7 linked regions of the Xenopus tropicalis genome follow. The protein of the gene in region 6 interacts with the protein of the main gene of each other region in a biochemical or structural test. Links are inferred from orthologs where the notes say so. Each region holds a gene or a part of one and is shown on either strand. Other genes may lie near its edges. The genes, in order: shc1, syk, itk, src, ptk6, erbb3 and fer.

What was found.
Region 1: the proteins of erbb3 (region 6) and shc1 form a complex in vitro, tested with the Homo sapiens proteins (2 studies listed by BioGRID and IntAct, with this or other methods). The link is inferred for Xenopus tropicalis from reciprocal best matches to the Homo sapiens genes ERBB3 and SHC1.
Region 2: the proteins of erbb3 (region 6) and syk form a complex in vitro, tested with the Homo sapiens proteins (2 studies listed by BioGRID and IntAct, with this or other methods). The link is inferred for Xenopus tropicalis from reciprocal best matches to the Homo sapiens genes ERBB3 and SYK.
Region 3: the proteins of erbb3 (region 6) and itk form a complex in vitro, tested with the Homo sapiens proteins (2 studies listed by BioGRID and IntAct, with this or other methods). The link is inferred for Xenopus tropicalis from reciprocal best matches to the Homo sapiens genes ERBB3 and ITK.
Region 4: the proteins of erbb3 (region 6) and src form a complex in vitro, tested with the Homo sapiens proteins (2 studies listed by BioGRID and IntAct, with this or other methods). The link is inferred for Xenopus tropicalis from reciprocal best matches to the Homo sapiens genes ERBB3 and SRC.
Region 5: the proteins of erbb3 (region 6) and ptk6 form a complex in vitro, tested with the Homo sapiens proteins (2 studies listed by BioGRID and IntAct, with this or other methods). The link is inferred for Xenopus tropicalis from reciprocal best matches to the Homo sapiens genes ERBB3 and PTK6.
Region 7: the proteins of erbb3 (region 6) and fer form a complex in vitro, tested with the Homo sapiens proteins (2 studies listed by BioGRID and IntAct, with this or other methods). The link is inferred for Xenopus tropicalis from reciprocal best matches to the Homo sapiens genes ERBB3 and FER.

The regions. Positions count from the first base shown.
Region 1 is NC_030684.2:145,083,079-145,087,171, reverse strand, and holds the start of shc1 (SHC-transforming protein 1), read right to left. Parts: upstream 2,801-4,093; 5' UTR 2,086-2,800; coding exon 1,489-2,085; intron 1-1,488. UniProt on the Homo sapiens protein: Signaling adapter that couples activated growth factor receptors to signaling pathways. Participates in a signaling cascade initiated by activated KIT and KITLG/SCF.
Region 2 is NC_030677.2:138,464,817-138,468,781, reverse strand, and holds part of syk (tyrosine-protein kinase SYK), read right to left. Parts: intron 3,324-3,965; coding exon 3,268-3,323; intron 2,242-3,267; coding exon 2,173-2,241; intron 1-2,172. UniProt on the Homo sapiens protein: Non-receptor tyrosine kinase which mediates signal transduction downstream of a variety of transmembrane receptors including classical immunoreceptors like the B-cell receptor (BCR).
Region 3 is NC_030679.2:14,179,218-14,183,675, forward strand, and holds the start of itk (tyrosine-protein kinase ITK/TSK), read right to left. Parts: upstream 2,993-4,458; 5' UTR 1,577-2,992; coding exon 1,439-1,576; intron 1-1,438. UniProt on the Homo sapiens protein: Tyrosine kinase that plays an essential role in regulation of the adaptive immune response. Regulates the development, function and differentiation of conventional T-cells and nonconventional NKT-cells.
Region 4 is NC_030686.2:39,476,885-39,481,515, forward strand, and holds the start of src (proto-oncogene tyrosine-protein kinase Src), read right to left. Parts: upstream 3,056-4,631; 5' UTR 2,894-3,055; intron 2,763-2,893; exon of another isoform or gene 2,687-2,762; coding exon of another isoform or gene 2,678-2,686; intron 1-2,677. UniProt on the Homo sapiens protein: Non-receptor protein tyrosine kinase which is activated following engagement of many different classes of cellular receptors including immune response receptors, integrins and other adhesion receptors, receptor protein tyrosine kinases, G protein-coupled receptors as well as cytokine receptors.
Region 5 is NC_030686.2:1,941,824-1,946,294, reverse strand, and holds the start of ptk6 (protein-tyrosine kinase 6), read right to left. Parts: upstream 3,041-4,471; 5' UTR 1,438-3,040; coding exon 932-1,437; intron 1-931. UniProt on the Homo sapiens protein: Non-receptor tyrosine-protein kinase implicated in the regulation of a variety of signaling pathways that control the differentiation and maintenance of normal epithelia, as well as tumor growth.
Region 6 is NC_030678.2:137,683,543-137,687,507, reverse strand, and holds part of erbb3 (receptor tyrosine-protein kinase erbB-3), read left to right. Parts: intron 1-232; coding exon 233-352; intron 353-1,812; coding exon 1,813-1,911; intron 1,912-2,570; coding exon 2,571-2,762; intron 2,763-3,136; coding exon 3,137-3,292; intron 3,293-3,917; coding exon 3,918-3,965. UniProt on the Homo sapiens protein: Tyrosine-protein kinase that plays an essential role as cell surface receptor for neuregulins.
Region 7 is NC_030677.2:174,160,322-174,164,870, reverse strand, and holds the start of fer (tyrosine-protein kinase Fer), read left to right. Parts: upstream 1-1,369; 5' UTR 1,370-1,592; intron 1,593-4,549. UniProt on the Homo sapiens protein: Tyrosine-protein kinase that acts downstream of cell surface receptors for growth factors and plays a role in the regulation of the actin cytoskeleton, microtubule assembly, lamellipodia formation, cell adhesion, cell migration and chemotaxis.

The sequences.
Region 1 (4,093 bases), on a different chromosome or scaffold from region 6:
GGGTAGGGGCACAGACAGCAGGTAGGAGTAGAGGGTAGAGATTGGGACTAGAGGGTAGGGGCACAGACAGTAGGTAGGAGTAGAGGGTAGAGGTTGGGACTAGAGGGTAGGGGCACAGACAGTAGGTAGGAGTAGAGGGTAGAGGTTGGGACTAGAGGGTAGGGGCACAGACAGCAGGTAGGAGTAGAGGGTAGAGGTTGGGACTAGAGGGTAGGAGCACAGACAGCAAGTAGGAGTAGAGGGTAGGAGCTGGGACTAGAGGGTAGGAGCACAGACAGTAGGTAGGAGTAGAGGGTAGGAGCTGGGACTAGAGGGTAGGAGCACAGACAGTAGGTAGGAGTAGAGGGTAGGAGCTGGGACTAGAGGGTAGGGGCACAGACAGTAGGTAGGAGTAGAGGGTAGGAGCTGGGACTAGAGGGTAGGGGCACAGACAGTAGGTAGGAGTAGAGGGTAGGAGCTGGGACTAGAGGGTAGGGGCACAGACAGTAGGTAGGAGTAGAGGGTAGGAGCTGGGACTAGAGGGTAGGAGCTGGGACTAGAGGGTAGGAGCTGGGACTAGAGGGTAGGAGCTGGGACTAGAGGGTAGGAGCTGGGACTAGAGGGTAGGAGCACAGACAGCAGGTAGGAGTAGAGGATAGAGGCTGGGACTAGAGGGTAGGGGCACAGACAGCAGGTAGGAGTAGAGGGTAGAGGCTGGGACTAGAGGGTAGGGGCACAGACAGCAGGTAGGAGTAGAGGATAGAGGCTGGGACTAGAGGGTAGGGGCACAGACAGCAGGTAGGAGTAGAGGATAGAGGCTGGGACTAGAGGGTAGGGGCACAGACAGCAGGTAGGAGTAGAGGATAGAGGCTGGGACTAGAGGGTAGGGGCACAGACAGCAGGTAGGAGTAGAGGATAGAGGCTGGGACTAGAGGGTAGGGGCACAGACAGCAGGTAGGAGTAGAGGATAGAGGCTGGGACTAGAGGGTAGGGGCACAGACAGCAGGTAGGAGTAGAGGGTAGAGGCTGGGACTAGAGGGTAGGGGCACAGACAGCAGGTAGGACTAGAGGGTAGGGGCACAGACAGCAGGTAGGACTAGAGGGTAGGGGCACAGACAGCAGGTAGGAGTAGAGGGTAGGAGTACAGACAGTAGGTAGGAGTAGAGGCTAGGACTAGAGGGTAGGGGCACAGACAGCAGGTAGGACTAGAGGGTAGGAGCACAGACAGTAGGTAGGAGTAGAGGGTAGGAGCACAGACAGTAGGTAGGAGTAGAGGCTAGGACTAGAGGGTAGGGGCACAGACAGCAGGTAGGACTAGAGGGTAGGAGCACAGACAGTAGGTAGGAGTAGAGGCTAGAACTAGAGGGTAGGGGCACAGACAGCAGGTAGGACTAGAGGGTAGGAGTACAGACAGTAGGTAGGAGTAGAGGCTGGAACTAGAGGGTAGGGGCACAGAGAGCCCTGGTAGCCCAGAGAAACAAAGCCCAAGAAAGAGAAACATGGCCTTACCCTGACCAGATAGGGAACCCCGGGGCCCATGACCTTGTCGTCGGGGTGCAGCCAGCCTCGGGTGGGCTTATTGACAAAGCTGCCGTGCCGGGTCCATTCGTCGCCGGCCAGTTGGCCTCCTTCCACCCGGGACTTTCGCCCGCAGCTCAGTTTGTTCATATCCTGTGAGAAAACAGTGAAAGTCCGGCCTGATTCGGGGCTACTGCCTTCATTGGGGGTGTCCCCTTGCTCCCCGGGGCTGGCGCTCTCCTTCCCCCCCATGGAGGAAGAGAAGCTGCGCAGGTTAAGCAGGTTGGCCGGGTTGGAAAGTTTCAGGTTGGCCATTTTGGGGAAGAAGGAGCACAGAGTGGTGGGGCTCTCCTCCGACTCAGAGGACAGCTCGGCCAGCGGCAGCATTGGGGCAAGGGAGGAAGACGAGGCAGAGCTGGGCAGGGACACCATGATTTCCACCGAAGGGCTGAGGGGCCCAGCGGCCAAAGCCTCTTCCACCGAGCTGACCGACTCATTGCGAAGGTGATTGTATTTGGTTTTGGGAAGCAGATCCATGATGCCAGCTGCCAGCTTGCACTCGACAGCAATGGGGGGTCTGGTTCTCATAGTCCGGTACCGGGCAAACCTGTATACACGGATCTCCCTCCAGAACCCCACATTGGTACCCCTCCAATCAGCTAGAAAGGGGCAGCCAGGAGCCGGGCTGGGGCATTGGCTTGAGTGCCGGGGAGAGAAGAATCCAGCGGGAGACCAGCAGGTTCTGATCCGGGAGCCAGAGAGAGGAGAGTGTCACTTGGTGCATGTCCCACTCACTGTGCATGGGGGCCCCCTCCCACTGATCAATACATTCCCTACACGGCCGCTGATGGGTGGGTACCTCTCCCCTGGCCTGCGGGGCCCCGGCACCCTACGGAGAGAGGATATGGGAGAGCCGGCAGCACCGAGCAGGAAGGCAGCAGAGGAAATGCTGAGGGGGGGGGGAAATAAATCCATATATTTATATCTCCGATGTGCGGCTGGGGGCTCCTCTGGGGGAAAGGTCAGCGAGGGGGGGGGCTAATCCTTGTGGGAAAATGTGCAGATGGACACCGGGCCGGGGGAGGGAGCCATTCCACCTGCCTTCCTACCCATCTCTGGGGCAGGGAGAGAGCTCAGGTGCAGGGGGGGTGGGAGCCTTGCACTGTGTGCGAGTGTGAGTGAGGGACGGTGAGTGGGAGTCGGGATGAATGGAGCTGGGGCTGCCTGATTACCTATTCACTGGCTCCCAGGAGAAGGAGGCTGCTGCTGGCCAATAGCACGCGCTCTGCTGACTCACCCAGCTACTGCCCCCCCCTCACTTCCTCCTCTCAATGAAACCCACCCCCCCCCTCCTACTCACTACTGGGCCCCGGAGCTGACTATCTACTGCTTGCAACAGTCTCCCCATACATCACAGCCCTCAGTTCATCTAAGCCTGGGGGGCTCAACCAGCATGGAATAATGTGGGGGGGGCACAGAACACTAATAAAATATATATATTCCCAGTCACTTGTCTTTAGGGACTAACTATGGAATGGGGAGCTAGGGGCCCAGCCTGAAGGCCAGTTAGGGGTACCCCTGGAACTATAGCGGGGTGACTGTTACCCAAATGTTTCTATATATCTGTAACCTTGTTATGGGCTAAGGGGGCCCAGCCTGAAGGCCAGTTAGGGGGGGATTTGGGGTGAGTGCTTATTTGTGCCCTGGGTACCCCTGGAACTATAGCAGGGTGACTGTTACCCCAATGTTTCTATATATCTGTAACCTTGTTATGGGCTAAGGGGGCCCAGCCTGAAGGCCAGTTAGGGGGGGATTTGGGGTGAGTGCTTATTTGTGCCCTGGGTACCCCTGGAACTATAGCGGGGTGACTGTTACCCCAATGTTTCTATATATCTGTAACCTTGTTATGGGCTAAGGGGGCCCAGCCTGAAGGCCAGTTAGGGGGGGATTTGGGGCGAGTGCTTATTTGTGCCCTGGGTACCCCTGGAACTATAGCGGGGTGACTGTTACCCCAATGTTTCTATATATCTGTAACCTTGTTATGGGCTAAGGGGGCCCAGCCTGAAGGCCAGTTAGGGGGGATTTGGGGTGAGTGCTTATTTGTGCCCTGGGTACCCCTGGAACTATAGCGGGGTGACTGTTACCCCAATGTTTCTATATATCTGTAACCTTGTTATGGGCTAAGGGGGCCCAGCCTGAAGGCCAGTTAGGGGGGGATTTGGGGCGAGTGCTTATTTGTGCCCTGGGTACCCCTGGAACTATAGCGGGGTGACTGTTACCCCAATGTTTCTATATATCTGTAACCTTGTTATGGGCTAAGGGGGCCCAGCCTGAAGGCCAGTTAGGGGGGATTTGGGGTGAGTGCTTATTTGTGCCCTGGGTACCCCTGGAACTATAGCAGGGTGACTGTTACCCCAATGTTTCTATATATCTGTAACCTTGTTATGGGCTAAGGGGGCCCAGCCTGAAGGCCAGTTAGGGGGGATTTGGGGTGAGTGCTTATTTGTGCCCTGGGTACCCCTGGAACTATAGCAGGGTGACTGTTACCCCAATGTTTCTATATATCTGTAACCTTGTTATGGGCTAAGGGGGCCCA
Region 2 (3,965 bases), on a different chromosome or scaffold from region 6:
GCTGTATTTTTGCATCTTAGTAAATATTACCCATTGTTTCCCTTGCAGGGAATTTGACACTCGCAAAAGAAAAAAAAACTGTAAATAAAAAGGAGCCAGTGTCCAACTGGCCAACCTGGGCACCAGCAAATTAGAAACCTTAGGACAAGAGACCACATTCCAATAGGTTTTTCTGCTGCTCTTCACTTACTTTTGTACCACACTGTCTTGTCAATACATTCTATGATTTCTGCCCTTAATTTATCTCTCCCTTCACCCCTTGGTCCCTTATTCCCCGTTCTAAACCCATCTGATATTTTTCTCCTATTTTCTTCTTTCCCTTAGGGTGTTGTCTACTACTTTATCATTCCTCTCTTCAATCTATTCTATTCTCTCTCATGCAGAAATGGCCATGGTACTAACATAGAGGCCAATTAGGTGGTTGAGTAGAAGGCCATTCTGGTTCCAAAGCTCACCACAAATGAAAATCTCTTTAATAAGAACCTGGATTCTATCTGTTAGTTAATCTGGGAAAAGCCCACTTCATTCTTTTTTTAGCACACATGGAGCTTTTGTTAAGCCAGACAAATACCAGAAAAAAAATATTATACATATCATTCTTATTTCTGGAATTTATAGACTAAAGAGCCCTCCCAACAATTAAAATCTTCCTTATATATTATGATTCTGTGGTGTCAATTATGTGGTAACATCTCTGTCACTGACCGCAATCACTGACACCACATCAATATACTGCACATATTTTATGACACATGATACATTTGTGATAATATACATGATTTCCCTTTTTTCCAAATTTTTTGATGTCAACTTGTTTTGTGTTATTTTCAAACCACACTAGGGGCCAAAAGCAGAGTGTTAAGAGCAGAGATGTCAAATGCGTGCCCTTCAAATGTCATTAACAACAAATCCCAGCATCTTCAGTAGGTCAGCTGGTAGTTGAGTCTATAGCAGGTGGAGGGCAGAAACCGACATCAATGGTTAATGTAATTTTAGCAGCTTACCACACAGTTAGTAATATTAAAGCAGCACTGCTGGCTCATAAATAAACAAACAAGATGTTTGTAGCAGTTTTCAAGCGGATGAAGAAGTGGCTAAATGAATGTGAAGGGAGAAATATATAATTTCTGCAACTGAATTATGTGTAGGCTGCAGTTAAAATGGCATAATATAATTATTTCATATTTTCTCTGGAAGTCCCCACCCAAAACCAATGATTAGGGGAAACAGTGACTTCAGATTTGTTTGGGTTCCCTTAACAACCATATTAAACATAATGGAACTCAGGACAGCGATGGCATCATGTTTACAAGCTTCTCAGAGAAAGCATTGGTGCATACAATGCCTAGAACAGCTGTTGGCTGCAGACATCTATAGTGTATGGCAGTTAGACTGCCTAAGGCACAAGCTATAATAAGCATGGGCATGATTCATACTGGCGGATGGACTTGTTCCCTCTATCTATTGTCCCCCATAGACAGTTCCATATTGGGAAGTGACTGCCAACAGTTCTTGGCATTTTGAGAACTGCAGTTTTTACTGTGAAGATGACAGCATTTCCCTTCAGAGGATAATTGTTATTTTAATTTTTAATTTTAAGAATGTAAAAATCTGAACTTAACCAACAACTACAAAACTACTGCATTACTGTCTTTAGTGAGGTGGGGCAGGGGCAATTGCCCTGGGCCTCATACATAGTAGGGCCTCATAAGCAGTGGTTTTAGGTAGGAAATACACCACGGTATAATTTATAGAAGAGAAGGTAGTGCAACACTGAATGTAATAGTAGGAACAATACATTCTGGGAAGAAACAGTGAGACTGTAGGACAGCAGATATAGTAAAGCAACATGGTGACAGTAACACTTATCAGTGTTATTTAGACTTCATTTGTTCTGAAATACAAAAGCAAGGACCCACTGACATCAGTCAAGTGATTCTGGGAAAAGTATTTCAGCAATGGATCCGGGGATTTAAGTTACACAGATATAGTCCTACGTCTTATAACGCTCCCACAAAAACTGCTCTGCCCTGGGCCCCCACCACTAAAGACAGCCTTGGCAGAACTAAATAATGCAGAAATCCGCAATGCTGCTTTAATGTAAATAAGCTGAGTCATTAATTTAGCGCCTGTCTATATTTTGGAAAGCCTTAGATAGTGTGTACAGAGCACCTTTTTGTTGCCAGGCTTGGGGAAGGAGTAGGATTTGAATCTCGAGATAATTCCACCTGCTGACCAACTCTAGAAACCACAATGGCAGAGAGGAACATTAAACATGCTGCCAGAAAAAAAACATTTTTTTTTTACAATTTGAAAATGAAAATTCTCTCTGGGGGGCAGTAATAACAAAACTGAAGTTAGGGTCACTGCCAACAATTTTCATGCATTATATGGCTTTGCATAAGATGTTTACTTTTTATCTAAACTTTCAAAACATACATTCTCTATTACTTTCAAAGAGTATAGTATTTTTATTCAAGTGCATTTACTGTCTCTCTGTCCAGCTTTCAGGTACTGTACATGTATTATCCAAGGTTCCACTGAATACAAAGTCACACAGCATTAAGCTGCTTGGTAATGCTCTTCCTTTCAACCCTGTCTTTTCCATTTGTTAACCCAACAGACCACAAGCACCCAGTCTATACCTTACAGTGTGGATTCTTTAAAATTAATGGAAATAAACACCCATGTGGATCAGATACACAGGGCTTGTATTGAAAATGTGATCCTTAGACAATTTTTTTTTATATGTAATGATTATCTTCACCTGTACTGAAAAAAACTATAAATTATTTCATTAACTAGGTGGCATGAATTATTGGCATAAGCCCTTTATGTTGAATGCTCCTCACACCCCCCCCCCCTTTAAATTATAAAGCTATAAATTATTTGGTTAAATAGGTGGCAAGCATTATTGGCATAAGCCCTTTATATTGAAATTATGTTGAATGCTCCTCACCATCCCACCACCCCCATTATAATCTGACATAGCCTGTGATTGGGCATTTGGATTACTTTCTGGCACCTACATTAGATTTATGGTTAAAGCAAAGTTTGCCTTGATGGCATCTTTCTCAAAATAGCATCTGCCTTCTTACTGCTAATGAAGGAAACATAGGTTTGACTAATTTGCTTCGTATAATGAAACTTTTAGCATTCTAGTAGTTGCAATACACAAGTCTATAGTACTTGGATGGCACTTACCAGCAGAGAATGGCCTTTGTGATGTTGTAATGAACAAATTGATGTTATGCATGCATTACTTACCATTTGATGTTGGGTAGGAGGTGCTGGACATGGTGCACGTTTAAATATAAAGCTTTCTATAACAGAATGAAGACATTTAATTAGATTTCATGGACTATTCTACATAGTTAAAGCAAAAAAAAAAAAAAATGAACAAATAGACTGTGTTACAAACCTGTGCTCAAATTGGGGAAAAAGGATATATAAGCATTTTTTTTTAAATTTGGTTATTTGTTATATGATTATTGCAAAATGCCTATGCTGCTCCAATAGCTTTAACATAATGATGTAAAATATGTGTAATTCTAATTTCATTGTATTCTGTGGTGAAAGGTTGATTGCACTGGGTTGTGATCCCCACCATCTCATGCCCTCATTTCTAAACATCTATAGAATTAGAGGCAGCAAATCATATTTGATCTCAAGAAGAAAATAGAGTTTGCTACTAAATGTCATCATATAAAATCCATATATACCATATTGCAGATATAAGTGGCTCCACTATGCCTGAATATTTCTGTTTGCTAATGTCAGAGAAAAGTCCAGATTCCAAAGTGGAGAGCTGCTGAACAGCAACATAATAGCAGGAATGCCTTGTGCAGGGCTCTCCAACTGTAATCTTTATCTCCTGGTAACGCTGGGAGTTGTAATTTAGGGACAATCTGACATTCACTAGCCGGACAATACTGCTTTATAGAGATACATGGACATCTTTTCAA
Region 3 (4,458 bases), on a different chromosome or scaffold from region 6:
ACGAAAGAGGGGCATCATTTAGTGTTTGTCTACCCCACTTGCAGAAGATAATTAGTTAGGGGTTACCAATAGGGAGGTATGCCACTTTATTGCTTACATTTAATAACAATAAAAATAAATGTTTACCAAATGTTACCAAAATTAACAGCTTTATAGAGGTTATATGTGGTTGTGGGGGGCCCAGACCATGGGATCTGCTTCTTCCGTAGGTGCTAGAAATCCCCCTTCCCCAACTGCTCTCTCCTACCTAACGTGGCACGAGCAGGGTACAGGAGCATGCGGGGGCCAGGTAGGGCTTGCTTTGCATGCCGTGCCCCTCCAAAGATTTTTTTTATGGGGAAGGGGTGCCTGAGGCACATTGTAGATACACCACTGGATGCAGGTACTGGCTCGATTGCCCTTTTTGTAGTTAAGAAGAAAATTTCCCCCCCTCTAGGGCAAACAGGAGATGCTAGAAGGCAGAAATTACAAAAAGGTTCACATTGATGGACATGTGTGTTTTTTCCACCACCATTTAATTTGTAACTGTGTTAATGTTATAACTGTAAAATATACACTTCAAGCCAACATGATTACATGATTACTAAAATACAGGTACAAACCACAAAGGGCTGGGTCAGAAAAGACATTTGCCCCAAGCCCACTGCATCAGGAGGGCAACAAAAACAAACTTTTCAGATGGAAACGCAACTGCCTGTATGGCAGGCAGTAAAGACAGGGCTGGCCTGCACTTGCTGCTGATTGGCTTTGCACCTTGCAATTTTTTTTTCTTTTTCTTAAATGACCTCCAGTTACTCTACTATATCATAATAAACAATGTAACATGGTTTATGATAATGAGCAGATATAAGCAACTAATGATGAAACAGCTGTTAGAGAAATACAACTTCCAGCAAGAATGCCCCAGCAAGAAGAATGCTGGAAGTTGTAGTTATAAAACTGAAATAACTTTATCTGGACTATGAATCAGAATAGTGGAATAAAGCCCAAGGAGGTTTGCGTTATGAATGCATATGCCTGCAGTCAGGACATCCAATATTGAGGCAGGTGTTTATTTAGAGGCCTATCATTTTTGTTAACACTGTTAGCACAGTTTTGTACTGAGGTCAAAAGATTAAAATATATTTATGAAGTCCTTTGGTACAGTAAGACAAAACTGCTGAAGCACTAAGCTTAGCGCATGTCAAGGATATAACCAACATTGCTACATGGGTCCTTACTGGTATGATAAAGACAAGAGAAAAACCCAGGGAGTAAGATGGGGCAGAAAGAGAAAGACAAGGATGTAGCTCCAACCCTAATAAGACACACAAGCATTCATATCAATACAACATTCACACAGACCCTTGTTTGTAGGAACACTGTGAACAAAGAAGCCAAAGAATGAAACCACATTCCAACCTAATGCCCTACAAACCCTTGTGCTACATTCGCTCACCCCTTGCCGATGCTCGTAGTAGTTGAGTGAAGAGTGGGTCAGGATGAAGATCCTGGACTTGTAGTTAGCTGGGGACGTCCTTCTCTTCTGCTGGGACTTCTTAATAAGCTGTTGTTGCAGGATAACAGGGTTATTCATCTGGGATACCAGACCCTGTTCCCAGAGTCACCAGAAGACCCCGAGGCAGATCACATAGAAAATATTTGTTTTTTACTTTTTTCAAGAAAAATTAAATGAGACCACCTAGTCCTTTAAGAAAACACTCTAAGAGAGAGGATGAACAATCACATGACTGCATGAGACTGTTAGCTGAAATACTCAAAAAGAAGGCAGAGTAGGGGAAGGGGTGCTGCCATAGAGAGCGGGGGAGTCACTTATCGAGACATCAGTGAGCAGAGCAAGGTGAAAAACTTGTTTTATGACCTCAAGCTTCAACCACATCCTTCTTTTTTCTATTAAGTTGCTTGTGTACAGCAGGGGCTCTCTCCAGCACATTTCACACATTTTTCTACCCACTGCTTTGCTGTATACCTTAATAACAAGTGCATTGCTCACAAAAAAGCACAAGAACTAACTTATAATGGACTAAATATTTCGAAGGCTTTAGTCATACATGTCTTATGTAACTTTACAAAAGTGGTTACATGTCTTATGTATCAATATGGAGGGCCACAAGTACCATATTGGTGAATTATAGTCAGTAAATAGCGCCATAATACTGGGGGGCAGAGAATAATGTTGTGAGCCCTTACCCCCCCCCCAAAAAGAATCAGCAGTGACTCAAGACTTGCACTTTAATTACTATATGCTTCCCTGTAGTTACCTGCACCAAGTAGGGTCATATAGTGAACTTACCATGTGGCCCGGGACTCTCAAGCATTCTGGTTAAGCTGGTTAAGCTTTGGCCGTGCCAAATATTCTCCACTTGAACTCAGCTCTTGCCAAAGCAGATCATCCTCCATAGCAATAATTATGCCCAAATAAGCTTGCATTACCCAGCCCAAGCTCAACCCAAATCAGCAATCCACCTACCACAGCTCTCCATGCTTCCATTTGTTGTCTGCCCAGTGGTGTATCCCTCCAATATCATCTTTATCCATCAGCATGACTTTCTGGCACTATATACCACAGCAGGATATTTGCCCTGTGCCTACCAATAGACTATCTGTCCCTTTAGCATTATAAATGACAGGCCTGGACTGGCAATCTGTGGAGTCTGGCATATGCCACAGGGACTGCTGTAATCTATCATAGACAGTCACTATTTAGAGGGCTGTTTTGGGCCTTTATGTACTTAAAATGCCAGGGCCTATTTTGAATTCCATTCTGGTCCTGATGACTGTGCAACACTATGCCCCTAATAACACAACTACCCAGAGGCTGTCACAAGTGCTTTGAAAATGTGCACTAAAGGTGTGATTTTGTGTCCCTTAGGGCCGTGGCAGATGGGGAGATTAGTCGCCCGTGACAAATCTCCCTAGTTGCGGGCGATTTATCTCCCCCATATGCCATCCCACCGGCTTAAATGTAAATCGCCGGTGAGATGGCATATGCAGTGACGTGATTTCCCGTAATCGCGGAAGTTTCCTCTCAAGGCATATGCCATCCCACCAGCGATTTACATTCAAGCCAGTGGAATGGCATATCAGGGAGATTACTCGCAGGCAACTTATCTCCCCGTCTACCACGGCCCTTAAGGTCCCCATACACTATAAGATCCGCTCGCTTGGCGATGTCGCCAAGCGAGCGGATCTTTACCCGATATCCCCACCTACGGGTGTGCGATATCGGGTAGGAAGTTGCTTTAAAAAAAAATAATCCGATCGTTTGGCCCTGGGGCCAAACGATCGGATTACAGTTGCGGCCATGGGGCAGTCGGTTCGGGGGCCGCATCAACGAGCCGATGCGGTCCCCGATCCGACTGGATTTTCTAACCTGGCCAATCAATATCTGGACAATTTCAGGCCAGATATCGGTTGGCCAGGCCGCTCGTTTCTTCCCATACACGGACCGATTAGCTGCTGAATCGGTCCAAGGGACCCATATCGGCAGCTTCTATCGGCCCGTGTATGGGGGGCTTAAGTGTTCCTACACTTGTAGCAGGGGCATCACTAAATTACCGCTCACAGCTCCCAAGCATACTTGTACACCAGCAGTATATCTGGCCCTTCAGCATCATGGCAATGCCACACTGTAGGGGCCATTTATTTATACCCCTGCTGCAAAAGCAAGAGCATTCCCTTAGTGCTCACTCTCAAAGCACTGACAGGGGCAGACCTCACATGCTGATAACAGGCTCCTCTGTCTCTTCATAGGCTGCTCCCAGTCTTCTCACAGACTGCCCTCCAGTTTCCACAAGTAATTTCAGCAATTTCCCACATGGAACCTCTCATTGTGCCACTGGCCCTAGAAACACAAAATACGCATTATTGTATCTCAATTTTAAAATGAAAGGTCCAGACCATAAACACCATAAAGAGAATAAAGATGAACATTTAAAAAATGTTTTATGTATGTCCAGCACCTACAAATATGTTCTATTTAATATGGGAATTGTTTTGAATTCTATGGGTGGGTAGAAAGCCATGAACCTATACTGTAGCAGACTCATGTTCACTACATCTTTTAAACCAGCTTGTTTTTGCTTTTAAGAGCAACAACCAGTAGTACAAAGACTATAACCAGCCAAACATATACTGCTTATAAAACATTCTTTTTGGGAAGCCACACGGCTCCCCCTGCAGTTGGCACCACGTTAAACGCTTCCAGCGCCTGCGCAGTAACACGCCATTGTTCAATAGTAACAGGTAATGGACGCTCTGGAAAGCGCGCTGACGTAACGTGACGTACCTCTTCCGGAAGTTGCTAGTGACTACTCGGAAGTGTTTGGTGTAGGGCGGAGATTGGCGGTGTGTTGTATTGGAGGAACGGAGCTGTTTGAAGGTGCGTGCGGTGGGGTGTGGGAATTATCCGGTATTGTATCCCTATTTAACGGCACACGGCGCTATCCCCATGACGCA
Region 4 (4,631 bases), on a different chromosome or scaffold from region 6:
AACCTCCTGGCAATCTTTCATTAATGAATACAGGAATGTCAATTTTTAGATTTTCCTTCGTTGTACAAATAACAGATTTTGGCCTGAGGATCCCTTTAAGTTCATCCCTTTGTGGGGTTGTAAGTGGGAGGGAGAGATGTGAGTTTAACCAAGAATGGCAGGCAGGCTGTAACACGTAGCTGGCTCGGAAGGCTCAGAGTACACAGGGTGAGAGAGGGGAGTACACTCCAGATTGCATTCTGATAGACTCAACAGGGATTGAGGCACGTGTGAAGGTGAGCTGGGATTTAGCTGGCTCTAAGGCAACTGTAGCCTCCACCTAGTACAAAACTACAACTCCCATCACCCTCGGGAGTTGTAGCTTTGCACTAGAGGGAGGCCAGAGCATAAATTTTTGGTTGAAAAGACCTGCTGATTTTATCTAAAGGTTATTTGCTAAGATACATTCATGTGTCAGTATATTTGATAAGCCGATGATAACAAAGCCTGGCACACGTTGCCCTTTACCCAGCCTAGCTACATAGGCCCTTCCCAACAACCTAGCATACATACCCCTGTATCAGAAGCCTTTCACTTGTACCAACAGTCTGGTACATATAGCCCTTTACATACAGTGTAGCAAATATACCTCTTTGACTACAGCCTGGCACATGTATCATTGTACTCAGAGCTTGAGAACTCACATACATATACCTACAGCCTGGCACATATACCACTGTACCCACTGCTTGGCACTTATGTACCTATACCTATAGCCTGGCACATATACCACTGTACCCGCTGCTTGGCACTTATGTACCTATACCTTCAGCCTGGCACATATACCACTGTACCCGCTGCTTGGCACTTATGTACCTATACCTTCAGCCTGGCACATATACCACTGTACCTGCTGCTTGGCCCTTATGTACCTATACCTACAGCCTGGCACATATACTACTGTACCCGCTGCTTGGCACTTATGTACCTATACCTTCAGCCTGGCACATATATCACTGTACCTGTTGCTTGGCCCTTATGTACCTATACCTACAGCCTGGCACATATACCACTGTACCCACTGCTTGGCACTTATGTACCTATACCTACAGCCTGGCACATATATCACTGTACCTGTTGCTTGGCCCTTATGTACCTATACCTACAGCCTGGCACATATACCACTGTACCCGCTGCTTGGCACTTATGTACCTATACCTACAGCCTGGTAAACAGCCCCTTCCTTTATCTAAAGCCTGGCACATATACCACTGTACCCACTGCTTGGCACTCATGTACCTATACCTACAGCTAGGGATGCACTGAATTGAATCAGAACACTAAAAATCATGTGCCTTTTTGTCATATAAACACAGAAGTTGAAATTTTTTCAGCGCAACCTGCGCACGAGGCTCGCTTTAACCCTTCCCTATCCTAATTTACATATGCTTGGTATTTGGCCGAATCCTTTACGAAGGACACTGAGTTTGACGGAATCTGAAAATAGTGGGTTTGGTGCATCCTACGTATAACCTAGCACCCTTAGCCCTTTACCTACAACCTGGCACTAACAAGGCGACATTGGAAAGTTATGATCATGGCCCTAAAGCCTCCTGCTTTAAAAGCTGCACAGCAAATGGTTAAAAGGGGGAGGGATACCCATTTGCTTGAGTACATTCATAAACATTTACCCTTGCCATTTGCTAATTGTAGCAATCACATAGTTAAAAAAAAAAACAATGCTGCCAGCTCTGTATGACATTTAATACCAATCTAAATTTAGATATAAACTATAATAATTGTGCAACCCACTGCCATAGTAGCTGTTTGACCATTGTGTGTGTTTATATGCAGAATTGTTCCACATACATACACAGGTACATAGCATAGTTTTGCTCCCCAGAACTACCCATACCTATAGAGCTGGGTTGAATTTTAACTCTCAACTTCAACCAGTAGCAGGATGGCCTTTGGTTTATTATAGAGAGGACTCACAAGTGTACAATCTATGATAACCCACCATGCACGCCTTGTACCCTTCACCACTCCTCCATGCATGCCCTGTACTCTCCAGCCATCCTTTACTCCCTGTACCATTTACCCACACACACCCTGTACCCTCCTGCATTCCCCCATACATGCCCTGTACCCTCCTGCATTCCCCCATACATGCCCTGTACCCTCCTGCATTCCCCCCATACATGCCCTGTATACTATAGCATTCCCCCCATACATGCCCTGTATACTATAGCATTCCCCCCATACATGCCCTGTATACTATAGCATTCCCCCCATACATGCCCTGTATACTATAGCATTCCCCCCATACATGCCCTGTATACTATAGCATTCCCCCCATACATGCCCTGTATACTATAGCATTCCCCCCATACATGCCCTGTATACTATAGCATTCCCCCCATACATGCCCTGTATACTATAGCATTCCCCCCATACATGCCCTGTATACTATAGCATTCCCCCATACATGCCCTGTATACTATAGAATTCCCCCCATCCATGCCCAGCACACCCAATATTGCTAACTAGCCCCTTCACTCCCCAATATTCTCTCAACTCCAGACTTGCCCAGTGACTCCCAGCATGCCCCCATCTCAAAATCATGTGTTAAATGTACGCTAGCTTATTGGCCCAGAAGTTTAACCCCTGATGTTCGCAGGAAACATGCTGCACTTACCCTGACCATTAAAGGGCCTGTGTGCACAACATATACACAGGCATACCCACCGAATACCGGGCCAGAGTGAGATTTAAAGGCCCATATGGTAGCAGTGCTCCAAATACCCCCAAAGGCGTTACATACACCATTCCCAAGCAGCCTATAGCGCCCCCATTCTCTGCACCCGTGGTACTATCCTACGCCCCCTAGCGGCACGGTGCAGCCACTACTTACCTTGTCCTGCCTGAGATATCGGGAGATTCCACTCTCCGGGAACCCCCCTCACACAGAGGGGGGCAAGAGCGCTCTTCTCGTACCCACTATCTCCCGGTGCCTCTCCCCACACATCAGATTCCTCCTGGGCCGGGAAGTTTGGGGATCTACTCAGCGTACGGTTCACGCCCGGCCGGCTCCAGCTCCCTCCTCCCCTCCGCCTGTGCTGCCCTCCCCCGGGTCCGCCTGTCCCTCCTCCCACTGAATCAGCCCTGGCCCAGCCTGTCACTCCCGTTGGGGGGTCTCTGTACTGCCCCAGTGACACCCAGCCTGCTCTCTCACCACAGTCCGGGGCGCTTATTAATTCGGCCTGTCCCTTTTTGTCTTTCCCCTTTGTCCTTCCCCTTTCATTTGCATTATTCCCCTCTCAGATCCCACCTCTAATCCCAACACTTCCCCCTCTCTCCTCCTCCCCTCCCAGAGCTAGCCTGGCTTCCCTTGTCTTCCTTTCTCTCATTCTTCCCTGGTGAGTCGCACCGACTGATTCACTCAACTAGAGGAATTACACAACCCTATACTTCTCCCCATACACCCAGCACCCACCCCTCTAGTACTTCTCCCCATACACCCAGCACCCACCCCTCTAGTACTTCTCCCCATACACCCAGCACCCACCCCTCTAGTACTTCTCCCCATACACCCAGCACCCACCCCTCTAGTACTTCTCCCCATACACCCAGCACCCACCCCTCTAGTACTTCTCCCCATACACCCAGCACCCACCCCTCTAGTACTTCTCCCCATACACCCAGCACCCACCCCTCTAGTACTTCTCCCCATACACCCAGCACCCACCCCTCTAGTACTTCTCCCCATACACCCAGCATTACATTAACATTTATTTATAAAGCGCCCACCCCTCTAGTACTTCTCCCCATACACCCAGCACCCACCTCTCTAGTACTTCTCCCCATACACCCAGCATTACATTAACATTTATTTATAAAGCGCCCACCCCTCTAGTACTTCTCCCCATACACCCAGCACCCACCCCTCTATTACTTCTCCCCATACACCCAGCACCCACCTCTCTAGTACTTCTCCCCATACACCCAGCACCCACCCCTCTAGTACTTCTCCCCATACACCCAGCACCCACCCCTCTAGTACTTCTCCCCATACACCCAGCACCCACCTCTCTAGTACTTCTCCCCATACACCCAGCACCCACCCCTCTAGTACTTCTTCCCATACACCCAGCACCCACCTCTCTAGTACTTCTCCCCATACACCCAGCACCCACCCCTCTAGTACTTCTCCCCATACACCCAGCACCCACCCCTCTAGTACTTCTCCCCATACACCCAGCACCCACCTCTCTAGTACTTCTCCCCATACACCCAGCACCCACCTCTCTAGTACTTCTACCCATACACCCAGCACCCACCCCTCTAGTACTTCTCCCCATACACCCAGCACCCACCTCTCTAGTACTTCTCCCCATACACCAAGCTCACATGTCTCTAGTACTTCACCCCATACACCCAGCACCCGCGCCTCTAGTACTTCACCCCATGCACCCAGCACTCCCACCTCTAGTACTTTTCCCTAGCTCTTTGTGAACTATTGTTTGGATGACTGTTATCTGGTTGCTAAGCCTCCAATGACCCTAGCAACCAGGTAGTGATACCAGTGGAGATTAAATAGGAAAGCTTGAGCAGTGCATTGTAATGTATCACCCTGCATTGTTCACACCTCA
Region 5 (4,471 bases), on a different chromosome or scaffold from region 6:
AAAGTGCAGTTACCCCACTTTGCATTTCAGGGGGCCCAGGAAAGCACAGTTACCCCACTTTGCATTTCAGGGGGCCCAGGAAATTGCAGTTACCCCACTTTGCATTTCAGGGGGCCCAGGAAAGCGCAGTTACCCCACTTTGCATTTCGGGGGCCCAGGAAAGCACAGTTACCCCACTTTGCATTTCAGGGGGCCCAGGAAAGTGCAGTTACCCCACTTTGCATTTCAGGGGACCCAGGAAAGTGCAGTTACCCCACTTTGCATTTCGGGGGGTCCAGTAGAGCACAGTTACCCCACTTTGTATTTCAGGGGGCCCAGGAAAATGCAGTTACCCCACTTTGCATTTCAGGGGGCCCAGGAAAGTGCAGTTACCCCATGTTACATTTCGGGGGGGGCCCAGGAAAGTGCAGTTACCCCACTTTGCATTTCGGGGGCCCAGGAAAGCGCAGTTACCCCACTTTGCATTTCAGGGGGCCCAGGAAAGTGCAGTTACCCCACGTTACATTTCGGGGGGGGCCCAGGAAAGTGCAGTTACCCCACTTTGCATTTCGGGGGGCCCAGGAAAGCTCAGTTACCCCACTTTGCATTTCAGGGGGCCCAGGAAAGTGCAGTTACCCCACGTTACATTTCGGGGGGGGCCCAGGAAAGTGCAGTTACCCCACGTTACATTTCGGGGGCCAAGGAAAGTGCAGTTACCCCACTTTGCATTTCGGGGGACCCAGGAAAGTGCAGTTACCCCACATTACATTTCGGGGGGCCCAGGAAAGTGCAGTTACCCCAGAGCCCCGGGCACCTCATGATGTGAGTCATTTCTTAGCTAAATGTTGAACCTCTCTGTGTCATTAACTTGCATTTTAGCAATATTATCCCTATAACATGATTTGCCCCCATTATTGCCCCCATTATTGCCCCCCATTATTGCCTTACTTACTCCTGCTCTTCCACTGTTCCTTCCTCTGCCAGGAAATTGTATGGGACGTATCCCACCTCGGGCTTTCCCTTCCCGTCCCCCTTCAGCTTCTGCACGTGCCACCAGTCTCCACTTCTGTCCAGAACTTCGAAGACGTCTCCAACTTTGAAGCTTAATTCCTCCGGCGCTTCAGCCTTGAAGTCCCAGAGACTGACGAAACGCTTTGGCCGATGGCTCATCTTGGCGTTGCCATCCAACCAGTTCCCAGGGAATATCAAAGCAAGGGTCTCGGGCTTCTCGTCCCACCTCTGCCTGCCCTGGAGAAGAGGACAAGGTGACCTGAAATGACTCTGAGTCAGGACATTGGCCCCCACTCTCAGGGCGTTGGAGGAGAAGAAAGTGGAAGTGAGGGAAGCAGAGCAATGGAGGGACTGTGGGGCCTTCCCTCCCAATGAACGTGAGAGTCCAACCTGCTGGAAACACCTTACTTCCTCATCCCGTGCTCGTCCCGCGCTGCTCTGCCACATACCTGAGGGCGAGATTAGGGGCGGGGAGCCTGTGACAAGGACAAGGTGTGGGACACTTGGCTGCTACTTAGAACTAAACAAGGAAATGCCAGAAATATCTCTCAAGCTCTATGTAATGCAGGGATGGGCTCGGCCTTATGGCAGTGTCAAACTGCAACTCCCCATGGCTCTAATAATCAGTATCATTGCCATACCATCTAGGACAATTACTCTGGTGCAAGCTCCATGTTAGACAAGCTCCATGATAAACAAGCTCCATGTTAGACAAGCTCCATGTTAGACAAGCTCCATGTTAGACAAGCTCCATGATAAACAAGCTCCATGTTAGACAAGCTCCATGATAAACAAGCTCCATGATAAACAAGCTCCATGTTAGACAAGCTCCATGATAAACAAGCTCCATGTTAGACAAGCTCCATGTTAGACAAGCTACATGATAAACAAGCTCCATGATAAACAAGCTCCATGTTAGACAAGCTCCATGTAAGACAAGCTCCATGTTAGACAAGATCCATGTTAAACAAGCTCCATGTTAGGCAAGCTCCATGTTAGGCAAGCTCAATGTTAGACAAACTCTATGTTAGACAACCTCTATGTTAAACAAGCTCCATGTTAGACAAGCTCCATGTTAGACAAGCTCCATGATAAACAAGCTCCATGTTAGACAAGCTCCATGTTAGACAAGCTCCATGTTAGACAAACTCTATGTTAGACAACCTCTATGTTAAACAAGCTCCATGTTAGGCAAGCTCAATGTTAGACAAACTCTATGTTAGACAACCTCTATGTTAAACAAGCTCCATGTTAGACAAGCTCCATGTTACACAAGTTCCATGATAAACAAGCTCCATGTTAGACAAGCTCCATGTTAGACAAGCTCCATGTTAGACAAGCTCCATGATAAACAAGCTCCATGATAAACAAGCTCCATGATAAACAAGCTCAATGTTAGACAAGCTCCATGTAAGACAAGCTCCATGTTAGGCAAGCTCCATGTTAGACAAGCTCCATGTTAGGCAAGCTCAATGTTAGACAAACTCTATGTTAGACAACCTCTATGTTAAACAAGCTCCATGTTACACAAGCTCCATGTTAGACAAGCTCCATGTTAGACAAGATCCATGTTAAACAAGCTCCATGTTAGGCAAGCTCCATGTTAGACAAGCTCCATGTTAGACAAACTCCATGTTAGACAAGCTCCATGTTAGACAAGCTCCATGTTACACAAGTTCCATGATAAACAAGCTCCATGTTAGACAAGCTCCATGTTAGACAAGCTCCATGTTAGACAAACTCCATGTTAGACAAGCTCCATGTTAGACAAGCTCCATGTTAGACAAGCTCCATGTTAGACAAGCTCCATGTTAGACAAGCTCCATGTTAGACAGCCCAATGTATTCTTTATCATGGCCCAGATCCAAGCCAACCCCCTTGCCCATTTGCTAGTTACACTTCTGATCTCTGTCCTTTATTCAGTGGGGTAATTACAATACAGCAAAAACTATGGTTGTGGGGAGCCTAGACTATGGGGTCTGCTGTATCATATTCCCCCCTGGTGGGTCCCCGACACCCCATTCCGACACTGCTCCATGTTACATGTAACATTGCAATGCCAATGACACTGGCAATACAGAAGTCCAATTACAATCTCAGAGTTCAGCTGCTGACTCTCTAATTCTGCCTGGAACATTATTGCCCTTATCTCTCCCAATAGTTATCTGATCTCCAATTGGTGTATATAACTCCTCCCACTTATTATTTTTGTGTGACAGACAGACAGCAATGTAACTAGAAAAAAAGGAACAGGAACAAAGGAATTTTCATTTTTAGTAAACACTTTATATAGAGTAGGTATCGCCCCCTAGTGACCAGAATGGGTAATACATGTACCAATTATAAACGTCTGCACTACTCAAAAATAGTAAAAACTTTATTAACAGCCCCATGTGGATAGCCCCGGCTGTTAATGTTTTTAATAGATTGAAATAAATAAAAATTTTAAACTATTTTTAAGGTTTATAATTGGTACAAGCAATGGACCTAGAACCCAGTCGTGTTCTGAGACTACGTCCTTGCATTTATTCTGTTATGTATTCATAGAACATGGCCATATGTTCCTCTAGTTTAACTGTGGATCCCCCAGGTTGGAACCATTCTCGGGCCGGGTCAGTGGCTCCCTATCCCCATATGTAATAAAAGTCACTAAGTTTGCCCAGGAGCAGTAACCAATAGCAATTAATAAGAGTTTTGCTTTTAAACAGGTGACCAGTAAATGCTTCCTGCTGATTGGTTGCTATGGGTTACTGCACCTGGGCAAATTAGTGCCTTTTTACCCCATAGATGTCCAGATACTGCAGTTCCAGCTTTAATGCAGATAACCTGCCTGGTCTAGGTAAATCCTTCCAGTTGTCTGGCTGGCTTGTACTGGCCCTTGTACTGGCCCTTGTACTGACTGGCCCTTGTACTGGCCCTTGTACTGACTGGCCCTTGTACTGTCCATGTATTGGCCCTTGTACTGGCCCTTGTACTGGCCCTTGTACTGTCCATGTATTGGTCCTTGTACTGTCCATATATTGGCCCTTGTGCTGGCCCTTTGTCTGGCCCTTGTACTGGTCCTTGTACTGGCCCTTTGACTGGCCCTTGTACTGGTCCTTGTACTGGCCCTTGTAGTGGCACTTGTACTGGTCCTTGTACTGGCCCTTGTAGTGGCCTTTGTACTGGCTACTTTCTCCTGCATGGCAGCCAGTGGCTCAGTTCTTGGATGATACCCCTAGCCCAGACTGCCCCACTGCTGCCACCTCTGGAAAGGGCAGCCCGGCACTAAGCACCAGGACAGGCTGTGCTTCTTGGCTCCTTTCAATCACTTGTCATAAAATTTCCCTGAAAAGAAATACCATTATGCCTTCTGCCCTATGCCATAAAGTCCTACCAAGTGCGCTAGTTCTGCCCTCTGGGCTATTGGCAGCGATGGTACCGCCCTTTGGGGGCCCAAAGCAGCTCTATGTTGGGCAGATACTTGGTATATTTGCACTCT
Region 6 (3,965 bases):
TTGATGGTCTGTCATGTGAAAACTTATGGGTGAGATTCAATTTGAGGAGAAAAAACTTTTCTCCCAACTCAGTCCCAGTTTTTACCATAGACTTCTATAAAGTTTACATTTGATAAACTGAGATAGTATATTTTGCCTTGGCATTGGACAAAATCAGCTGAAAAATACATAATGAGGAAAAATGGCGCATATAATGAAGACAAAGTGTAATTAAATCCCACTCTTTCTGCAGTGTTTGGATATGCTGGATCCTTCAGAAAAAACAAACACCGTGCAGGCTCGGCTCTTCAAAGACACAGAACTGAAGAAACTGAAGATCTTGGGCTCCGGAGTATTTGGCACAGTGCATAAGGTAAGTATCTGTCACTGTATGTAGGAGACAGAAACCTGAGCCTGTAGAAGAACTTGTTGTTTATCTAATGCTTTGTCTTGGTCACCTGAAATGCCATGTGATGGGCAAATACGATTAAAGGGAAATCATTTTGGTGGCTCTAATAATGATAATAATGTTAATTACGGCAATATGCACTAGTCATATTAGGTATTTCTCACACCTAGGGGTGCTTTGTAGTATCATGATTGATATTTAAACAAGAGAATATGTATGTCAATACAGACTGTGCTTCCAGAAAACATGGACCAAAATTTGGAATAACTCACAAACCCAAGAGAAAACTACTGGCGTAAATTAGTCCACTTGTCCAGGATAAAGCCTTGCTGCTGCTGTTGGCTGGTGATGTACCATAGGTCTCAAAATCCAAACCTGACATGCTAAGCTGGCAATACAAATATCTTTAAAATCTTTTGTATGATGTAAATATATTATATATATATATATATGTACACATTGGCCTGACAAATCCATATACTTTTGACAATGTAATCTGCAAACTATATGTGGCAGTATTTCTCTTTGCTACCTGCTGTTCTGATTGTTTGGGTTATCAGTCCCAGCGAAACAGAACAGTAGAAAGGCGGCCATGCCAATTAGCTGTATACAATACCAACAGCTCAGCCCATGTATGCCTACACTTCAGTAAAGTACAGAAAAAAATGCCCTTAAAGCTGGCCATACACGGAAAGGACTTTCCCCTGGTATGCCCACCTTAAGGTAGGCGATATTGGACTAATCTGATAGTTTCGCTTTTGGGCTAAAGAATCAGATCACACTGACAGACCGTTTGGACAAGGATCAATGCACCGATGTGTTTCTCATCCTGATGAGATTTTTAAACTTGCCTGATTGACATCTGCCTGATTTTCAGACAGGTATCAGTCGGGTAGGCCAGTTAAAGGGCCCCACCTTTAGATGAACATACACAAAAATCAGCATAAAAAATTAGAGACAGCAGGCCCTGCCCTAGAGAACACGGGGGCCCTCCTGGAGCCTTCATAGATGTGCATTTCAGTATGTGGACTGTTTGCTATGGCTGTGAAGGTTCTCATTCATCCAGGTCATGGTATTTCTTGAAAAAAAGCAAGCCCGGTTGATATGAGTTATTACTACAGATAGACGGTTTGCAATAATATCAAACCTCCAGGAGGCTTAAAAGGGAGTGTCTTATTACTGCTTAGTTACATTGCTGATATGAAAAACATATGATTTCCTTACATGCAGTTTAGTGCAGAGCTAGAGGCTTCATTTCTAGGTGGGTTTTGCCAGACATGAACCACAGTTTATATCTTATTATTCCACATGTCTGTGTGAAGTAAAATGGTGAAAAACATGAGGAACACCGTATAACAAAAATGACTTTTCATTGAGTTACCGTTTGTATTATTAACTTCCTTCCTTTTGGTTTTCTCTTGCAGGGTGTCTGGATACCCGATGGTGAGTCGATCAAGATACCTGTCTGTATTAAAGTTATACTAGACCGGACCGGTCGCCAGACCTTCCATGCAGTTACTGATGTAAGTTGCTTCTCTTGTTCACTCAGTAGAATGTAAACCATGTGAAATAAAAACTAGTAGTAATTGTAAGGAAAGGAATTTAATGGCTTGCATAGAAGGTAGTATCAGTTAAACAGCCCTCCTCCACTGGAACCACACAAGTTTGTCCATCCAGTCCTCCCTGTTTTCCCTAAATGTTGATAAAAATGAAATTAGCACAGCGGGGTGGGGGGCACCATCCCACCAAACTGAATCTTCTCGTGCCAATGATTGCGAACACAGAGCATTTGCAGTTAAAGCCAGACCGGCAATTCAGCGGCACATAATGGTGCCCTTTGACCAAGCTGCACTACTCTGCTCTTTATCAACATGCATGGAAAATGGGGCAGATTTGTGGGGGGGATAGTGGTGTAGTTTAGGTGGTTTAGGAGTTCTTTCGGGAGATACTACCTTTTGTTCAAGGTTGCCATTCTCCTTTAAGACTTTTGCTATCTGTAATTAGTTTTAATACTGCATTTTTTCCTTGTATGACTGATACAGGTAAATGTTACTCCAGGCATAGTAGCACAGCTCAACAAGCTTATGAATTTGTTTGTAGCACTACTATGCTGTTTATGTAGCCATGGTAATGTATGGTCTCACTTGTACTGGGTGGTTCTGAGGCTATCCTGTCTCCACAGCACATGCTAGCAATTGGAAGCCTGGACCATACCTACATTGTGCGTTTGTTGGGGATATGCCCAGGCTCACAGCTCCAGCTGGTCACAGCATACCTGCCAATGGGATCGCTGCTTCAACACGTGCGCAAAAACAAGGATTCTGGTGCCATTGGTCCTCAGCTTCTTCTTAACTGGTGTGTGCAAATTGCAAAGGTAAATATTCAGAATAAACTGGCAGTAGTGTAACAAAGCAAGCACTGTCATATATCAGCTCTACTTAAATGGGCTACAGAAAATTTGTCAAGAAACTGACAAGTTATATTATAACGTGAATATGAATACCCAGACACACTAGAGGTTGTTGCTGGGTAGACAATGTTGTAATACAACCAGTTACAATAACTAAAGTGATAAACAGCCCCCTTGCTCTTTTCATCAAATTATTCCCCATTTAAATCTGTTATTTCACATTTATACTTACATAATTTCCCATCTCTGTTTGTTACAATGTAATATCATATATAAATCATTATAATGATTTATCCTGCCCTATCCATTGTCTATTGTGTCCTTCCTCTCTCCTGTAGGGTATGTGTTACTTGGAGGAACATCGAATGGTTCATAGGAACCTATCTGCTCGGAATGTCCTTATGAAAAGTGTCAATCAGGTGCAGGTATCAGACTATGGAGTGGCAGACTTGCTGTACCCAGATGACAAGAAGTTTTGCTACAATGAGATCAAGGTACCCTTCTGCCTTCACACTCATCTATGTTTATAAGTACAATATTTGCTTAATATCTAACCTTACCTTATTACTAGCTAAGCATATTCCAATGCTGGTTTCTGCTCTCATATCCTTGTTCATATTCCTTTGCAACTGCAAGGGCCGGTGAATCACCAAGCAGCAGGGTGTCCATTAATGCTGTTTGCAGTTGTTTTTTAGCAACAAGCTTTAAATTAACACAATTGTTCTAGGTGCATCCGGCATTATAGTTTCTAGCATGGATGTGTCAGGGGAATTTACCTGCTTTGGTTTTTGGATTTTTTTTTGTGGACAGGCCTGGACTGGTAATCTGTGGATTCTGGCAAATGCCAGAGCCTTCTCCTGTAAGAGTCACTATTTATTGGGCTCATGGGGGCTGTTTAGGTCTCTGTGTAATTATAATCCCAGGGCCTATTTTGAATCCCAGGCTGGGCCTGTACATACCCCTGTATCTGTTTATTTTACTTCTACATACACTGATTTATAATCAAATTCTGAAAAAAATCAAACTATCCAGTTCACTGAGAAAAATTTTTGAGATTTGATTAAAATTGTACTTTTGTTTTTATTTTTTTTTTAATGTACCTTTTTTGGTACTATGCAGACTCCCGTGAAATGGATGGCTCTGGAAAGTATACACTTTGGGAAGTAC
Region 7 (4,549 bases), on a different chromosome or scaffold from region 6:
ACTAAGGTCTCCAAACTTTGCAGAGCTAGTCACCTGGTAACTGCAGTTCAGAGTTAGAAAAAGTGGGTGGAGCCAACAACAGCCAATCAGATTTTACCTATTGATTTTCAATGGGAAATGCAACCTGCTGCCATTCTCACAGTATTAACACCAGGGAACTGCATTTTTAGATTTTAAAAAGTGGGTGGAGCCACCAACAGCCAATCAGACTTCACCTATTGAATTTTTTTTTGGTTTATATTTAAAATGTTGCTTTGCTCACACTATTTATGTCAGGGTTCCCAAACAAGTGGGAGGAGCCACCAACAGCCAATCCATTTCCACCCATTAGATTTCCTTGGTTTATATTTAAACTGATGCCATTATTTAAATATTAATTCCAGGGTTGTTAAACTTTCCAGAGTTAGTCACTGGGTATTTGCCGTTCAAAGTTAGAAAAAAGTGGGCGGAGCCACCAACAGGCAATCACATTTCACCTATATAATTTCAATGGTGAAGTGTAAAATGCTGTCAGTCTCACAATTTTTATGCCCAAGTCCCCAAAATTTGCAAAGTTGGTCACTGGGGGACTGCAGTTCAAAAAATAGGAAAAGTGGGTTGGGCCACTAACAGCCAATCAGATTTCATCCATTGAATTTTATTGGTTTAAATTTAAAATGCTGCCATTCTCACACTATTTATGCCAGAGTGCCCACTGTTTGTCACTGGGTGACTTCGACTCAAGGTTAAAAAAAGGGGGCGGGGTCACAACCACCAATCATAATTCACCTATTGACTTTTATTGGTTTAAATTTTAACTATTAATCCTAGGGTCACGAAACTTTGCAGAGTTAGTCACTGGGTAACTGCAGTTCCAGGTTAGAAAAAGGGGGTGGAGCCACCAACCACCAATCAGATGTCACTCGTTGACTTTCAGTGGGGAAATTTAAATTGCGGCCATTCAGACACTATTAAAACCAGGGTCCCCAAACTTTGCACAGTGGTTTTTACTGTATAACTGTGATCCAAGGTTAGAGAAAGTGGGCGGAGCCCATTCAGTGACTTCATATTTTTCAACCCAACATGAAGTTTGTTCTCAAACTTACTTTTCTAGGTATAACATGTACTTCTGCCTAAATATCTGCAGCAGAGACTAGTGGCACATACTGCTTGCAACCACTAGGAACAATACTTCTTTGTTGCATTTTGTCCCTTGTACAAGTAGGACATCCAGTGAGCCCAGAAAAGACTCAGTTTTCCTCATTCCTACATTTAGGAGCGGACTTGGTGATGGCAGGGGCATTTTTTTATTCCTTTCAGTTATGCTCCACAAAAAAAGCAGCAGCTTCCGTGTCCTATACAGACTCAGCATCTTACACGCTCAGCAATCATTCGCTCCATCACTTCTCATTCTCCCCCAGGCGGGTACGTCGGCGTGCCTGCGCTCCCACTCACAGTGTCCGTAACGGTAGTCTCATCTCGCGAGAGTATGACGGGAGTGTGGGAGCGCTGGCCGGCAGAGCCGAGATGATGGACATTTAAACAGTTATCCGGGGCTGGGGGCTGTGTTATGAGATTCGGGAGTGTCCCGCGGAAAGCGGGATAGGCAGGCGGTACGTATCGGGCGGCACTCTGGGCCTCTCCACATTTACCCTTTCCTTGGAATCTGTCGCTATTATTGTGCGCTAGTAGCACTTTGTACGCCTTTCTGGCTTAGCTGTAACATTGTGGTTCGCTTGCTGCTTAGCAGTGGGATCCCATATTGATGGCAGATAATGCGTGCCGTACTTATCAGGCTTGGGAGTCAGACTCGCCGGCATTGTGGCAGCTTTGGCGTCCATGGTGTTCATTAGCGCAGGAGGCGGTGCCTTCTAACTCTTGGGAATGGGATGGGTGCAGCTTGTATACACCTTGTATAAAGTCAATAAGCCCGTGTGTATTATTCCCTTATTATTAGTTTGGGGGGGGGGGTGAACCCAAAATAGGGAGATGTTTTCTGCAGCCAAAATAGCAGCAAATATTGCTATTTGGAAATAATTTGTATTTATTTACTTTCTTTCTAAAAGTGACATTCAAAGTGATACAGCTGTACATATTCTGCTGCCTTTTCTCCCTCTTTGTTATTTACTATTCTGCGCCTCTCTGTCTTGAACATGGTCATATGGTTTGCTGAGGTTAGTTACACATTGCCCACATTCATTCTAAGGCTATACTTCTAGTTTTTATTTTTTTCTTTTCATTCAGGCCCACTGTTTTATACCTGTAATTACAATGCTTAGGGGTAAGTGGCACTACAATAACTAGATATGTTCCAATATACAAATATTTGGCCTGATACTGCATTTCTACAAGTGAATGTAACAGTCGAAAAATGCCATTGTCAACAGTGGTTGCCAGACGTTGTTGCTTCAAGTCCCTTCGGAAGTCTAACATTTGGTCCCAGCTCTTAGTTTACAATAAGGTTACAGATATAGAAAAACATTTATGTTTTAGCTGTTTAGTCAGACTTCACAGAATATCAAGGACAGCATATAACTCTTCACCCCAATTCCCACCCTCCACAGACATTCAAGGCTGAATTGTCAGATATGGAGGTAGAAACAATAGGATTTCTACCTCCTTCTTCTGATTCAGCCCTGAAGGTCGATTTTGATTGGGCGCCAAAATCTTTTAACCCGCCCGATTGGGGAGTCGACCGATATCCACAGCCTTTTGCGATATCGGTTAAACACGCACCGAATATCGTACGAAACAAGGTATGGCCAGCTTTAGTGTTCAAGCTAAGCACTGCCTACCTCTGTCCCAGCCTGACGTTTTTGGTACCACTGGGTGTACATTCTACCCTGTGACAAGTATAAAGGGCTAGTGAAAATGGTGTAAAATTGTTAACATATAATTAAAGTATGTATATCTTTATGTAGTGCTAATTGTATATTCAGTGTTGTAGATTGTTACATTCACTTGTAGAAATGCAGTATCGGGCCAAATATCCATGTTAACAAGGCTAATTAGTAGTAGAAAGAGCCATGCCCTAGGTAGGGCATGGCACAATTGGGGGTGAAAATGACATCTGATTTTTTTTTGTCTTCCTTTCAGATATAAAATGAGGCCTCTAAAATACGGCTAGTGTTTTAAATTGTGAAATAAGCTGGAGTTTGTAATGTCTTACTATTCTGTGCTAGTACAGATGTGTTTAGATTGTATTAACACTTAGCGAGAAATTAATACCTGTTCTTCCAGTGTCTCAGCGAAACCATTTTGTTATGACATATACACATTATGCATACTGTAAACAAGTCAGTAATTGCACTGTATAGCGCTAGGACCTGTCTCTCACCTGCCTGCTCTAGCTGTGGTTGTTTCACTTGCCCTACCAGGCTTGGCTGATCAAATAGCTAATATAAGGCTGATGTATGAGGTGTAAGGGTATTAGTTAACGTCAAAAGCCTTTAAATCTTTTTGGAAGGGTTGCGGAATTCAAGCAGATAGTAGCTGCAGCTAGACTTTTTCATATGACATTGTGACATATGATTTATGGTATACCTGGCAGAGAGTATGCCAGGTACATATAGCTTTTTGGAAGACTGGTAAATATTCTTGGAGGGTAAATATTCTTGATGCATATTACATCTGTGAAGGGAAGCAGAGGGGCTGATTCACATGAATGTCTAATTGCAACATAGCAGTTAGCAACCTGTTAAATCTTTGCTTTTATTATGTAACTTGTAATCTACAAAAACTAATTATTGATTAATAATGCTTTGTAATATTAACTACCATGATGTAGTTTAGTACCTTTCCCAGTAAACATAATGGGTTTATTCCTTCTCATTCCTTGTTAATAACCCTCTGGTATGTATTACAGTAAAATTGAAATTGTAACTGATAAGATTTATTTTAAGGGGGCAGTGTCTGTATTTACCTTTATCATTACATTAAATAACATTAGCCAAGTAGTTAAGGATGTGAAAGAAAATGTAGCTACCATGTAAGATTTCAACAAATTCTAAACCCAAAGCCTAGACTTGGGGCTTGCTTAATATATTGTGCTTCCTGTGTCAGCTTCTGTAAAAGAAGCATGTGGTTAAGAGACAAGCCAACACTGCCTAATGCCAGTGCAAGCTCTGTAATCTTATGTTCTATTTGTCCCTATTGCCATGCACGCCCGCAAAGTATAGGATATTACTCCGTGATAATAAAAAGCATTGGTTGGTCCCCATAACTAAGTTTAAAATAGTTAAGGAAAGTTTAACACAGGCAGGGATTGCTTTACGTTATGTTTTTAGGCTTTTTTACTGGCCCAAGGCACCCACAGCCCTTACATATTTAAGATCTGTACCTCTGAAGATACTCCCCATCTCCTTTTCTGCAAATTCAAAACACATGCTCTTGACTTCTGTAAGTTACCTGAGGTTAAGGACCAGCTCACGGCAAACAGCATAAAATTATCATATTACATGGCAAGTCAAAAACTATTCTAGATCAGAATTTACACGAGCCATGTAGCATCACCTTCAGATGAACTTAATTATGTGCTTGATAATTTCTGACAACTCCTAAACTAAGCATT